Linked DNA regions of Drosophila melanogaster. Each later gene encodes a partner of the first gene's protein in a complex. Each region holds a gene or a part of one and is shown on either strand. Other genes may lie near its edges.

What was found. The genes of interacting proteins can lie anywhere in the genome.
Region 2: MED23 (region 1) and MED7 share a complex: the UniProt entries of both Drosophila melanogaster proteins name them as parts of the mediator complex.
Region 3: MED23 (region 1) and MED21 share a complex: the UniProt entries of both Drosophila melanogaster proteins name them as parts of the mediator complex.

The regions. Positions count from the first base shown.
Region 1 is NT_033778.4:22,886,924-22,894,930, reverse strand, and holds MED23 (mediator complex subunit 23), read right to left. Parts: upstream 6,004-8,007; 5' UTR 5,918-6,003; coding exon 5,879-5,917; intron 5,817-5,878; coding exon 5,723-5,816; intron 5,669-5,722; coding exon 4,704-5,668; intron 4,646-4,703; coding exon 4,559-4,645; intron 4,504-4,558; coding exon 4,301-4,503; intron 4,249-4,300; coding exon 3,872-4,248; intron 3,812-3,871; coding exon 3,637-3,811; intron 3,581-3,636; coding exon 3,092-3,580; intron 3,034-3,091; coding exon 2,707-3,033; intron 2,648-2,706; coding exon 2,424-2,647; intron 2,366-2,423; coding exon 2,283-2,365; intron 2,227-2,282; coding exon 2,079-2,226; intron 2,010-2,078; coding exon 1,352-2,009; intron 1,291-1,351; coding exon 1,150-1,290; intron 1,092-1,149; coding exon 782-1,091; 3' UTR 506-781; downstream 1-505. Other genes in the region: CG3700 (uncharacterized protein), read right to left, coding at 1-148, 214-466; Gmer (GDP-4-keto-6-deoxy-D-mannose 3,5-epimerase/4-reductase), read left to right, coding at 6,172-6,296, 6,351-6,465, 6,524-7,081, 7,138-7,305; asrij, read right to left, coding at 7,398-7,624, 7,683-8,007. UniProt on the Drosophila melanogaster protein: Component of the Mediator complex, a coactivator involved in the regulated transcription of nearly all RNA polymerase II-dependent genes.
Region 2 is NT_033777.3:10,759,570-10,763,053, forward strand, and holds MED7 (mediator complex subunit 7), read right to left. Parts: upstream 1,464-3,484; 5' UTR 1,365-1,463; coding exon 1,035-1,364; intron 974-1,034; coding exon 641-973; 3' UTR 502-640; downstream 1-501. Other genes in the region: Cap-H2 (chromosome associated protein H2), read left to right, coding at 2,014-2,047, 2,275-2,456, 2,678-2,880, 3,460-3,484. UniProt on the Drosophila melanogaster protein: Component of the Mediator complex, a coactivator involved in the regulated transcription of nearly all RNA polymerase II-dependent genes.
Region 3 is NT_037436.4:25,114,423-25,117,532, reverse strand, and holds MED21 (mediator complex subunit 21), read left to right. Parts: upstream 1-1,586; 5' UTR 1,587-1,704; exon of another isoform or gene 1,705-1,808; 5' UTR 1,809-1,829; coding exon 1,830-1,871; intron 1,872-1,927; coding exon 1,928-2,314; 3' UTR 2,315-2,609; downstream 2,610-3,110. Other genes in the region: Set1 (SET domain containing 1), read right to left, coding at 2,636-2,809, 2,866-3,110. UniProt on the Drosophila melanogaster protein: Component of the Mediator complex, a coactivator involved in the regulated transcription of nearly all RNA polymerase II-dependent genes.

The sequences.
Region 1 (8,007 bases):
TCCCAATTGATGTCCGACTTGGACTTGTTGGGCCGATGAGTGCCGATTAGGGCCATGAAGGGAAACTCTTTACCGGATGCCTTTGTGCCGCCCACGATGAAGGGCGTGGACTGGCAGGCGGATCTGACCTCGTTGTATTGCTTGCACTCTAAAAAAAAAAAACGAATATTCAAATTCCATCAATCGAAGGGAATTGTTGCAGTCACTCCTCACGCTTCTCAAAAGGCCTCGTCTGTTCGGCTGGCTTCAGATTCTGGTGATCCAGCGGTATGGGACAGCAGACAATGTCGTTGAACTCGTCGCAGTACTTGACTTCGGCTCCGATCAGGTGCTGGTTGTAGAATATCACTGGACAGTCGGAGGGCGTCAGCTCCTTGCACTCGCCCGTTCCATTGTCGCAGTACTCGGTCACCACGCTGACTGAAGCAATCAGCAACAGAATCTGGATTCCCGGAAGCGCATACATCGCAGTGCTCTGCGATCACAACTGAGAACGGCGCTCGAGGTGGACAAGATCACCAACTACAGGTTATCTACGAAGAGCTTTAAGCTGGGCTTATTAAGTCAAGCTTTTGATTGTAAAGCTGGAGGGAGGACTTGGGCCGACAGCTGTGACTTACAAAAAGTTCCCTTAGTATCTAACTTAAACATATCTGAGAACTGTTTACACATTCAATGGAAAATGAATAATGCAATAAGCGATAAAATATAAGATAATACTACTATAAATTAGGCTTATGTCGTTATGTCAGCTTGAACTGACTTGGGAGTCCCACAAAGTCTAATTGTGGCGCATGTTTTGCATGTGCTGATGCTGCTGCATGTGCTGCATATACATTTGTTGCTGCTGGTTGATTTGCTGCTGCTGCTGTAGGTTGCCACCGCTGCCCAAGGGAACGCTGGTTGTTTGTACTGCGTTGATTTGTTGCTGCTGCATCTGTTGTTGCTGCTGTTGCTGCTGCTGCTGCTGCTGTTGCTGTTGTTGTTGCTGCTGTTGTTGCTGATGTGGTTGCTGCGGCTGCTGCTGATGCTGTGTTTGCATTGGAGACTGCGTTTGGCTGGTTATTGCATTATTGCTGGTATTGTCGTTGCTGAAATTGGAAAAGTTATGTTTAAACCGAAGTAGAGTTTGAATTAAATGGCCCTTACATCTTTTCAGTGTGAATATCCTCCAAGTTAAGGTGGGTTATGAACCTCAGGCGCATTTGCAGCAGGGGCCGTAGCCGCTTAATGATGGCTTCCGATTCGTTCTTAATGATATTACCCACATGTATATACTTAATGTGATAGCTGAAATGATACAAACACATTTGTTTAGTACCCTTTCATGCGATTTTGTGGATTTGCTTACAGGAAATCGCAGATCTGGTCCATGTACTGCAGAGGCTTCGGACCATGATGCTTGTCCACGATCTCAAGAATTTCGTAAAGCAACACGGCTATGCCAGCCACAGCGTTCGGTTTTTCCAACTCTATTCGTTGCAGGAAGGGGCCAAAAACGTGGCACAAATACAGCAATTGTTGTTCGGTTCGCACGCACGGCTTTAGCTTCTCCTTGAGGTACCTGGTCATTGCCGCCAGCTTAAAGGCGCCCATGTGATGGAACACTGAGTGAGCTACTGCCAACACCACGGCGTAGGTCTTTTCTAGCATCGCCTCACGCACTGTCTTGAAGTTAAACAACTCGAAAGCATTGAATCTGTAGGTCCAGTTCAGCATATTGGGTGTGTTGAGCATATCCTGTAGGCGATCGTATATGCCGCTCCAGTAGGGCTCAGGCAAGGCAGCCAGAACAATGCCCACAGCATTAATGTAGCTGTGAATGTCCTTTTGCGGAATAACCGCATATCCGCTTACTATAACATCGATGAGATTGCTGGCCACCAGTGGCGGTGCCACCGGCAGACCCAGCAGCTCCACGCATGTCACATAGAGCGCATGGGTTGGCGCATTCGGGAACTCGTTAAAACGCCAATCGGTGGAGTAAAATACATTCTTCCCACTAATTGCTGCAAAATAAAAGGGGTTACGCATGAATATATGAACACATCATAGTATTTTCCCAAATCCTAGCTTACTGTCTGCAAGTCTCCTGATCAAACTCATATAGTAGCTCAATTCGGGGGTCCACAGCGAGTCTTGGCTTTGCAAATACACCTTGTACGGCTCACTAACACTCCAGTTGGGCGGCCGAATCTCGCTAAAGGCGCTGGTGATAGCGCCAACCTGGAACAACACAGTGTATTAGAAGAAGGGAATATAATATTCATAACAAATCTTACAAGTTTCTTCTTTAGCGCAGGGCGGTCTCGTAAGATTCGCTCATAATAATGGAGGGTGTTGTACAGATATGTTATAGGTCGATCTGCAATTTAAAGGGTAATTTAAAGTTATGAAATTCTCGAAAGCCACTTTTAACATACCGTGAAACTTGTAGAGTATGCTCAGATGATCCAAAATGAAGCCCAATATCTGGTGGACATTTGTAATGGTAAGTTCGATAAATCTGTGCACTACCACATCCAGAACGGGAAGGAATCGCAGACAGACATTGCTGAAGTACACGGGCAGCGGAATCTGTGAAGCTGACTCGTCCAACGCGAACTTCTCTGGATACTTTTGATGGAATGACAAGTGTTTGTCCTGCCTGAGAAATAATAACAACTATGCCTTTGTGCTCTTAACAAAATCAAGTGTCCAACTTACCAGTTGCTCTGCTTCCAGTGATCAGGATTATTGTCCTTGCAGAACTCCTGAACACGATTTCTCAGCTCGCTGGCTTTCAGCAAGAGCAGCTGAATTATGAGAAAGCAGACTTGAGCCTCGTTACCCTCGTGCGTTCGCAGAGCCAGGCAAAGCACAACCCTATCGATGGTCACAACGTTGAACTTCCAAATCATGTTGTTAATGGTGTCGACGCACTTGTGAATAAAGTCGCGGCCATCCGATGAGCTAGCTACCTCAGCCACCAAGTAGTCACAAAATTTACGCAGATGAGTGGACAAGGCTCTCGCGCTTATACCCTCCAAAATTCTAAAAAAAAAGGTATGGTCAGAAAAAATGATTGTGTTTAAATCATAATGTTACGCACTTGTAAGCCACTGGGCTTATGTTCTCCGTCTCCCAAATTATTTTGAACAGAAGGCAAAGGAATAAAGGATTCGTAGTTGGACGCAAGAAGTGCGCAATTATGTCATTCTCGTTGGTCATCGACGTCCAGGTTCGATATTCCTCTTCCACGGCCTTCTTCAACTGCTGCTTGTTCTCCGGAGGTTGGTTGTTCTGCGTAAAGTACTCGTTTAAGGCGGGCGGAAAGCAGGCTAGGGAATGCATGGGCCACGAGTGCGGCGTGTGCTGAATGATGTTGGAAAGGAAGTCCTTGCACCATCCCTGCATTTCATCGCCGCCACCATGTACGTGCATGGATCGAGCTAGCGTAAGAATAAGTACTCTGTTTAGCTCTTCGCTCTCATTAGACGCCACTGCTCCGGGAGATTTGTCGTTAAAGTAACGCGAAAACTGCGGCTGAAACTCGGCGGATCCAATGCTGGTGATCAGACGCAGTGCAGTAGATTCAAAACTATACAAAGGGAAGAACTTAGAAAGAAGTCTATACTCGATAAACGTATAACTAACCAGAGATTGAGCTGCATCTTGTTTGTCTGCGGCACGGAGGACAGAGAATGAAGGAGAGACAGCAATTGGACCCGGTAGTGAGTAGGAACATGGTGCAGCCGGTACGAAAACATCTCCATTAAGGTGTGCAGCATGGCCCACGCATGGTTCTTAAACACTGTTGGCATCAGTTGGCCTTTAGGAGGAAAAAAAACCATAAACATATTGTTTAATCACTTCAACAGGCTGTACTTACTCAGGAATCCCTTTATACCGAGCGACTCGATTTCTGTATAAACCAGAAGTCTGGCATAAGTTTCCAGTAGTGCAGCCGCTGGAACTTGACCCTTGCTTTGGGCCTGTTTTAACATCTGAGTTACGAAGCTGTGGATTAACGACATCTTACTGTGCACCGTCAAGCTGTCCAGAACCGTGACCGAAAAAGTTACGGCTGGGATTTGGCCACCGTTTGGAGATTTTGAAGTGCCATTTAGGGCATCCAGCAGTAGACCCATGGGACGCCCGAAGTACTCCTGATTCGTTGAGTATGCATTGCAGATGAGAATTATGCGGAAGTCGTTTCCTAGCGTCATGTTCATCATGGTGTTAGCCGTGACTAGGTGCTGCAGAAAGCTGGGAATTAAGCAGTTAGTATCTAAACACCAAAGGAAGTTAGAGGTATTACTCGTAGTGGTTTTTCAGTGCAATTGGCAATGGTCTGGTGATGTTCATGTTTTCCACTCGTGCCTTCTTCATCAGGTGAATCCAAACGCAAATGGGTGCCATATGGCGAACCATCGAGGATTTATTGATATCTGGCAGCTTAAGAGGCTCTAGCTCGGGATATAGTAGGTCAAACAATCTGAACACAGGCAGGAAATTGGTGATCTAAAATTAAAAGCGATTAAAAATAAGATCAATCAGGTGGAGAACAGGATCTTACAGGATTTTTCTGTATGCTTCCGGATATAAACTGCAACAGAATCCACATAAGTTGATCGCGACCCTTGCGAAGCTCCAACTTGGAAAGCTATAGGTGAAAAGTAGTTAATTACAAGAAATATTAATTTCATCCACCATGGACCTACCTTTTCGTGGAGCGCCAACACTATGTGCATAAAGCTTACGAACTGAAAGAGCACAAAGTAAATTAGTTGCGAAGAGAGATGCAGCCACATCCACTCGTAGGGCGTGATCTGCTCGTCTGAGGAGTTAAAGCCACTTCCCGCAGTGGCATCATTCGCCTCCGTCATCTCCATGGCCTGCACTATGAGATTAACCAACTGCTCTTCCAGGGCATTGTAGCGCTGCTTCTGATGCTTTTGCAGGTTCAGCATTTGAGAGACCATTTCCCTTGAGTACGGCTGCTCCAAAACGTAGCGGAGTAGGGGCTTCTGCTCTTCGAGCAGCTCTGGCTCGTAGGGCAGGCTACCCTTAAAGTTAAACTTCAGGGTATTGTGGTCCAGTCGCCAGGAGTTCATCATGTGATCGGCATAGCCGAAATGCTCTACGATGGGAAGCATGCTGGCATGTCCAATGATCGAAACCATTTGTGCCGTGGTGCGGAACTCTTCGACAAAGTCGGTCATCAGCCGGTTGAGTTTCCAGTGGTAAGGAAACGGACGCATAATCTCGTTGGCAATAAAGTAGGCGGGCAGCAGGCAATTGTTGCGATCAAAGATGAATCGCAGGATATCCTCAACGGCCAGTAGCTGTGGCATGTAGGTAACGTTGACGTTCAGCGGAAACCATTGTGCCTTGTCGCGGCATACCTTCATGATCTCGCGCACACCCTTGTAGTCCACCTGGACGATCACACGCTTGATCAGCCGGAAGCTCTCGATCCAGAAGGTCCTGTGCTCGAAGTCCAGTTTCTCGCACATCAGCACCTTGTCGCACAGCATCCTGGCGGTGATCACGTGTGCGTCCACCAGCTTCACCAGTGCCGCCATCAGCACTTTGATGTGATATCCGGAGGCACCGGCGGCACGCAACAGGTAGAGCCGAAGCACCTGCTCCCGGTTCTCCTGCGCCACGTTCCCAAAGGCGGTAACTGAAACAGATAGTTTTTAACAATTTTCGAGTTCCAGCAGACGCATTTACCTACCCAAATCATTGGCGAAGCGGGTAGCTCGTTCTTGCTCGGTGTTTGGCTTGAATACAATGACGCTAACGAACGCCTCGTCAAGGGAGTCGACCTTCTGCGAAATGGAGAGCGTGGATGAGTGGGTGATTTTTTGGAGACGCAGGGTTTCACTATTACCAGAAACTCGTTAACGGTGTCTATAACTTGCGTTTCCATATCCATTTAAATTATTTTTCGCATATCCGACACCGCATAAACAAAAACTACCTGGGCACAGTGTGACCAAATGGGGCTTAGTAAAGAATCTAAAAGTGGCTTTTTCTGATAACAAGAAATAGCTAAAGGATTAGATTAAAAACGCCAGGCAGGCAGCACTGACTGATTAGCCGGCATTTAAAGCAGCTGGTCGCATTGAGTCGAAAATTACTTTAGAAACTAATTGACTTGATTTGTGGAATCGCACAAAAATCATGAAGAAAGTTCTGGTTACAGGCGGAACTGGGCTGGTGGGCAAGGCCCTGGAGGCTGTGATCAAGGAGCAGTCCCCAGAGGACGAGCAATGGTTTTTTGCGGGCTCTAAAGATGCAGATTTGACGTAAGTCATGAAGAAATTCAATTGAACGTATCCGTAAACAAATTCTCTCCACAGAAATCTGGCCGCCACGCAGGCACTCTTCGCCCGAGAGAAGCCCACGCATGTCATCCATCTGGCTGCAATGGTCGGAGGCCTGTTCCACAACATGAACAACAACCTGGACTTCTTGGTGAGCTCCTGGTCTCACAGATGATTCCAAAACCCATTTCATGCGAATCCACTTTTAGCGCAACAACCTGCTCATTAACGACAATGTCCTGCAAACGGCACACGAGCAGGGATGCGTGAAGGTGGTGTCCTGCCTGTCCACATGCATTTTTCCGGACAAAACCAGCTACCCCATAGATGAGACCATGGTGCACAATGGGCCGCCGCACCCCTCCAATTATGGTTACTCCTACGCAAAGCGACTGATAGACGTGCAGAACCACGCCTACCACGATAAATATGGCCGGGTGTACACCTCGGTCATTCCGTGCAACATATTCGGTCCCCACGACAACTATAATCCAGAGGTCAGCCACGTTATTCCGGGCATGATCTATAGGATGCACCAGCTGGTTACGGAGAAGACTGACGTCCCCGAAAACGACAAGGTGTTCACCGTTTTCGGAAGCGGCATGCCACTACGGCAGTTTGTATACTCCCGGGACCTGGCGGAGCTGATGATCTGGGTGCTCAGGAACTACGAAAGTGTGGAGCCCATCATCCTAAGCGCGGACGAAGTGCAGGAGGTGACGATCTTCGAGGTGGCCCAAGCCGTTGCAAAAGCATTTAATTTTAATGTGGGTTAAAAAGCGAAATTTGAGACAAGGCAAGATATTAACTTGATTTATTCCAGGGAAGACTGGTCTGTGATACGAGCAAGTCGGATGGACAGTACAAAAAGACTGCGTCTAATGCCAAGCTTCGCTCCTTCCTGCCAGACTACGCATTTACGGACTTGGAAACGGCAATCAACGCCTCGGTTAAGTGGTACATAGAAAACTACGACCAGGCTAGAAAGTAATTGAATATTCCAACCCCAAAAAAAAATGTAAATAGACAACGAATTTTCACAGAACTTTATGCGCGTTTAATGTCCAACAAAATAACAATACCTTAATCAGTCCAGGAGTCGCCGTATTGGTTCTTCCTTCCAGCGGGTTCACTTTGTGCCTGCTCCACGGGTCGCTGTTGAACGGCAACTGGTGGTTCGTAAGGTCGCGAGTATGGACTCTGCTGGTGCTTCGAATACTCTTCTCGGTTCCTTCGTCGCAGGTCCTCGTAAGACTGGCCCGGCTTAGACGGCTCCAAGGGCAACTCTGCCTCCAGCATTGAACCAGCTGCTGGGAAGGAGAATGTACAGAATCATAATAGGGAATGCGAAGAATTAGATGAGCTTACAGTCCAGGGTGGGGCGGTAGATGTCGTCAAGGCCGGACAAAGTAGGGCGCGATTCCGTGTCCAGATTGAGAGAAGTGCTCCTCCCGGGCTGATACGCCTCATCGCTGTACACGTCCGCCGAGCTCGGCGAGAAGGGGGCCAGAGTGAAGGCCCTGCCCAGATTCTCGTCCGGTGTGATGGAGCTGATGACACCGCCGCCCTGTCTACGCTGACGCAGCAGCTCGCCCAGATGGGAGTTGGGTAGGCGCATGATCTTCTCGGCACACTTCTGCTGGTAACTGAACTTGCCCACAAAGTAGCCCAGAATGACGCCCATCACGACCTT
Region 2 (3,484 bases), on another chromosome or scaffold:
AAAATTTTAGGGAAAACATTATACTCCAGTTGTGAATGAATATCTCTATTGACTTTTTAATCATGTTTATCAAACAAAATTAGTAATTTTGATGAAACTCCATACAAATTCATTAAAACCACATATGTATATGTACATTATGAAACGCACTGTACGAGCATATTTCGGCTAGCCACGATGATGCCATGCGGTAGCACCCATTAAAAGTAGGAAAACGTGTGAGGTGTTCATGTCTCATGTCATGTCACATGTCTTTACAATTTTTACAATTAAATATATACATTTATATTGTTATTCCTATCCTGAATAAATTGTTCTAGATAGATTATTAATTTATGACATTTGACTATATTATTACTCCACGCTGACTACGTCATTTTAATGGTGAAATTTGTGGGATGCTTAATCATGAGCCTTTATCTCGGATCTTATCTGTGTAAAGCTTATCTCAAAGATGACTTAACACATTAATTCCCATTGAATGAATTACTCATTAGACGTGCAAGATTCTCATCCCACAATTGGGGTTTTATTTCTTATACTAAAAGGAGTTATAAATATGAGGAGCTCTTTTTTCCAAGCCATTCACAATGATTGACACTATTTCCAGCGTCGATGTCCAGTCTTTTGCCAACTCAGCTTACTCGATAGCGTCCACAAGCTTGCACAACATGCGATCGTGCTGGTAACTGGGATCATTCTTGGCCGCCGCATTCGCCTCCAACGGATCCACCTCCGTCTTAATCTTTGCTCCGCCGCTATCGTCGTCATCATCTAGAACCGGCAGAGCTGAGAAGGCGGTATTAACGATCTCGCGCACACGTTCCAAGTGCTTTTGGAAACGGGCGGCGGTCTCAACGCGCTGCCGCTTCTGCATTTCCATCATGACGCGCAGCGTTTCCCTCGCCTGATGTGGGCGAAATTCATTGAGGAGGTGATGCATGTTGACGAACAGCAGACTGATATCGTCAATCTAAGATATCAAATGAGTGTAATACAATAGATGCTACATTTTAATGGGTCAATTGACTCACCTTTTCCGTGCGCCGCGGGCTGTCAGGATTCAGGATAAGAAAGTCAATGAGATCTAGGAAGTTGACCAAGAGGGAGTGGTTAAGCTTCTTGAGCTCCTTGCGCCGATCGAAATGGATGGGGATCAGTCGCTTAATATTCTGGGACTCCAAGCTGCGGATCATCTCGTCGTTGTTGTACTGGATGCCAAACATGCTATAGACTTCGTGCTGCGCCGGCGGCGGCGGTGGGCGTGGCGCTCGGTTGCGGCGGATATTCTCGTCCGTGTAATTGGCGATGTACCGCTCCGGCGGCATCGGCAGGCTGGAAACCTGGGTCTCCTGGTTGGACATTATGAGATTAACAAGTGCGGAAATACAAAAATAATAAATGATTTTTGTTTTGAAGAAGTGATGGCACCTGAGACAGGCGAATCACTCACGATAGTGATGACACTATCACTCAAATTGTTTTCTTAAAAATGAGCACACTAGAGGTTTGAAGCTAGACAATGCAATAATAAGCAGAATTTATTATAATATGTTTTGAGACACTGACAAATAATTTACAATTACAAAAATTAAATTAGATATTAATCGAGCTCGAAATAATAAATGATTCACCGTGCCTAGCTATCGATAACTTAAAGGTGACCATGCTTGCATGCACCCCCTACAGCATTGCCATAGCAATTTTTCTCCGTCTCTTCCCTCATTCGTCGGTAGAGCACAACAAAATAAGAAACACATATATATCTTGATGTGAATAGCTAATTGTTCCAGCACCGATTCGCGCCAATATTCCTGTTCCTGCCAAAGAAATGAAAACAAAACGTAAAACCATAACATAACTGGACCCAACTAAGAGACAAGCCGTGCTGCCTCCACCATTTTGATTTCCCCACTCAGCGTGTGTGCGTGCTTGCAGTGCTTGTGCACGATGCCAGTAAAATGTGCAAAACCGGACATAAAACAAACTTTTCCTAGTGTCATCTAGTGAGCCATGGAGCGGATTTTGCCTGAAGAAGCGGAAGCGGGTAAGCATCCAGAACTTAGGTAACCAACGCAGGACAGCCCCAGGCGTGATCTTCGTTTCCCATTGATTAAGTCAGCGCTATTTCCAGTATACCGCGTGTGTTGGTGCTTCTATGCGAGTGTGTGTGTGTGTGTATGGGGAGGGCCGAAATAAACAATAAAGCGGATCTGCGATTGGGTGTGTGGTTTTTGCTTAAGTAAATCCAATCGGTTTCTATTTAATTCACAGCCTACTTGAGCGAAGCGCGGGAGCAGATATTGGAAATAGCCAAGAATCGGCCGGGAACCCAAGTGGCCAAGTGCATCCGCGCCTACGATGAGCAACAGGACCTGGCCTCGCTAGTCGTCCTCCTCGAAGAGCTCTCCAAAAACACGGACTACTCCACGGACCTACGGATATCACTGGGATATGTGAGTGTTGAAGACCACTATTATCAAGATAAGCAAAACCGCCGAAGAGCAGAAAGATCAAAATAAAAGTGTGACGCAACGTGCGTGGGTTTTACAGTCATGCCTCGATAACTGGTATTTTAACTAAAATTATATAAATGGGTTTTCAAGAAAATCTATTATTTTATTTACAGTGAACACAAAAGCCTGCAGATCCTCAAATACATTGCTTATATTTTCAGTATATTGAAGAGCTACTGCGCCACTGCTTAGGACGAAATGATGTCTCTCGAAGATCGGCCATCGTGGCCGCAGGAAGTGCCCTCCAGTACTGCGGCAAGATCTATGGAGACCGAGTGGAGTACCTGTGCCAGGTGGTGGAGCACCAGATCGAAGCCCTGCTCACATCGGAGTTGCAGAAGGAGACCCCTAGCGGAAGTGCTGCGTAAGTTTAACTCAGAACTGAAGAGTTAAGAAGATGGAGAAAGACAAGGCCACGTGCTCCCCACTTGTCGCCATTGCTGGCTCTTTTCGGTCCAGAATTCCGCTTATCGAGCTTCACTTTACGCCCCCTTCGGCTTTGTTTGCATTAATATCACAGAAGCCGGCTTGCCGTTAATGGACGATAGGGCACGTTCTCGTGCTTCCAAAAACAAATAACAAACAGAGTATATAAAGAAATGAGAAATTAACCAGACAAGTGAAGCTAAAAACGTAGACAGTTCATTCATAAAAATAACAAGTTATTCAGAGATAGATCACATCCTAAATAAATATTTTTACATTATAATTCACTTAAATTCTTTCTTATCAGCCGGCATTAAAGAATTTGGGGAGATTATTTGACCTAAATGTTGAAAGTCTAATTAATTTTAAAGATAGCACCAGTATTTTGATTAAACATAAGATGATTTCATTATAATATTTAAGTTACATAATAATCAGTCCTTTAAAAAAAAGAAATCTTATCCTCTTTTAATCTGCATTTAGCGATATAATAATTGTTTTCCTTTCATATTTACAGACCGGAGAAAAACGAGCGCAGGCCT
Region 3 (3,110 bases), on another chromosome or scaffold:
ACCAGCAGACCCAAGAAAAATCCCAGACCCAGATCACACATAGAACTAACGCCGGCATTATCTGCTAAGGAAAATATAGACAAGTCAACGGACACTGTTGAAAATATTCTAGTTTCGGGTGCAAAGTGACGTATGCCCACCAGCACTAAGAACCTTTTGTAGAGAAAAGACAGTGATGAGAAAAGAGCCAGAGCAGTTGCTGACCACTTACAAATTTTATTTCTACCAAATCCTGCTATAAAGTCATTATTCTCCCTCCTTTAGCAGAAGCAAACTTAGATTATGTGAATTAGCAAAGGTTATCAAAAAGCAACTGAAGCGATTTTGGCTTCGACCTAATAACTCAAAAAATCCTTATTGAACTCCCAGTGTGATGTTCTGCACATGTGCTTGTTGTTCAACGCAATCGCCAAGCATGGATACTTCCCTCAAAAATGGAAAAAATCTACCATAGTAATGATTCCAATGCCAGGAAAAGATAAAACGCAGCCATCATCATATAGACCGATACAGTAACTAACTTATCTCTAAAATTTATTTGAAAAAATGCTACTCCTGGGAATAAGCCCTCGTCATGGAAAAAACATGGAACCATCGAACAGGCCAATCGAATCACGTCAGAAATTCGTACTGCTTTTGAGCATCGAGAATATTACACAGCCATTTTACTAGACGTCGCGCAGGCATTTGACAGTGTTTCTGGATGGACTTTTGCTTAAACTAGCCAAGCTATTGTTCCAAAACATACATAAGCTACTGAAGTCGCAATAAGATGCAAGGAACCTTCACTGGCTCATGCTCGCTCTCCACTTAGCGTGGAGTTCAAAGCTCTCCTATACAACTCCGTCTTAAAACCAATCTGGACTTATGGCTCCGACCTGTGGGGCATCCATTCAGCGAGAACAGCCAACAATTCTGAGAATTCTGACTAGAGCGTGATACCTTCGGAACGAAGACATACACAGAGAGAAAAAAATCAAATTATTTATCGAAATAATAACTGAGAAGAAAATTAAAATACCTAGTAAAACTGACCACCCATTCAAATCCCCTCACAAGAAAACTAATCGGAGGCACAAAGTGTTCGTATCATAAAATCTTTGTTGCTTTTAAAAACCTTTAAAAAACAAGAGAGGTAGCTTTAAAATTTTTCATATGACATCTTTAAGATATGGTGAACCGATTTAGATATGTTAAAAATTAAAAGAATAATTATCGTGAAAAAGGGTACGGCTGTTCTTACTGATATTTATACCCACTTAATTGGACTGAAATGCTTTTTTCACTTCGTTGCAAGCTTATAACTGAAATCGATATACCCTCCTCAAGGATATACCAAGATTGTGTGAGAGAGGTTGCAGACTACTTGGAGACCAACTGCTTCCTTGTTATAACCGAAATTGTGATGATTTTGAACAAGACAAGAGGGATCGATGTGCAACGTGTGGTCATATATTATGGAGATTCCACTGTTTCCGACAATCTTATGGTAGTTTATATCGTTGGAATGAAGACATTATTATGGCACAGTGTGAACAAGAATAATTCGTCTCATTGAAAGAAATCACGTTTTAGTGTGGAACTCATATTAATAGCATTTCTTTTTTTAAGAGAATAGTCGCTGCTGTGAGGTATCTGTAAATAAGACATAAAATCAATCGATAAATAAATGCTTATATATTATAAAAATCACCAACGGTCATTGTATGTTGATATTATGTTGATTATGTTATGTTGATATTAAAAATGTTAATCAAAATTTGAACTGGCTAATCAAACTTAATTCCATATAATTTTTTGTTTTTCAGAATTATTAACTCTGTAGTAAAATGGCGGATCGGCTTACACAATTGCAAGACACCGTTAATCAGGTAAGTGACTTCGTATTAAGAAATAACCAGTTTTTTATGTAAAATAATCATTGCAGCAAGCGGAGCACTTCTGCAATGCTATTGGTGTAATTCAACAAACGTCCCTTCCAAGTAAATTTGTTAATTTTGAACGCATTGGACCCCAAACGCCAATCCCATGTCCGCCGCAAGAAGACTATGCCCAATTATTTGCACAGTTAATTGCACGATGTGCTAAAGACATCGACACCTTAATCGAGTCTCTTCCAAATGAAGACAGCTCCATTGAACTCCAAAATTCTAGCCTTAAGAGGCTCGAGATCGAAAACCAGGGAACTGCAAGAGACCTAGAGGAAGTAGTGCAAAAAGGCGAACTTTTGCTAGAAAAAATGCAGTATTCTTTGGAATGCATTGCTCAGGCTCAATTAGATATGCAAATAACACTCAAACATGATTTACAATAGCTGCTTAACACATTTTTGTATAAAGGCAAATTATTTTTAAATTTAAGATAATGTATTTATTGCATTTTCGTTCGTGTTTACAGATCAAATGGGTTTTAGTATATACATATTGTTTTTATAAGTAAAGTATTTTAGCTTAATTTAGACCTAAACCATTTTGAACAGCACCTCTGACCTCGTTGATATAATTTTTATAATAATTAATTATAGTTTTAAGTTATAAAAAAAACTATATATACTTACACGTACCCCACTTTGGATTTTATGAACAAATTAAATTTATGTGCTCTAAAATATTTAATTCATTGTTGTAAATAAGTATTAGTTAAGTGTACCCCGACATCCTTGGGCGCCGCATAGACAAGGTATTTTTTCGTCTTCTAGTGGAAATTTATAGTCGTAAGTTATTTCCTCGTTGATACCAATGGGTTGCTTTGAATATATTACTATCTTCTTTTCAGATTCAATAGTTATAACCTTAGCGTAGCAATTCGGCTGAAAAACAAAATTTTATGTTGGTAACATAATGTCAGAACATCCAGCTTACTTACATTGCAACTGTGATTTATAAACCGAGCTAAGTTTCCACATTTAGTTGCGTCAATTATAGTTTCCATGTCAATTCGAAACAAATAGGAACTCCCAATCCCAATTGCTTCATACTTTGTTTCTCTTAGATCAGCAACTACAGGTCGAATCATCTGACCAACATATTCAATAACCATTTCGTCTGCAGCTATGGGCTCCATTGCAAATAATCCCCAATCATGTATCGCAGATTTTGCAAACTTAAGCT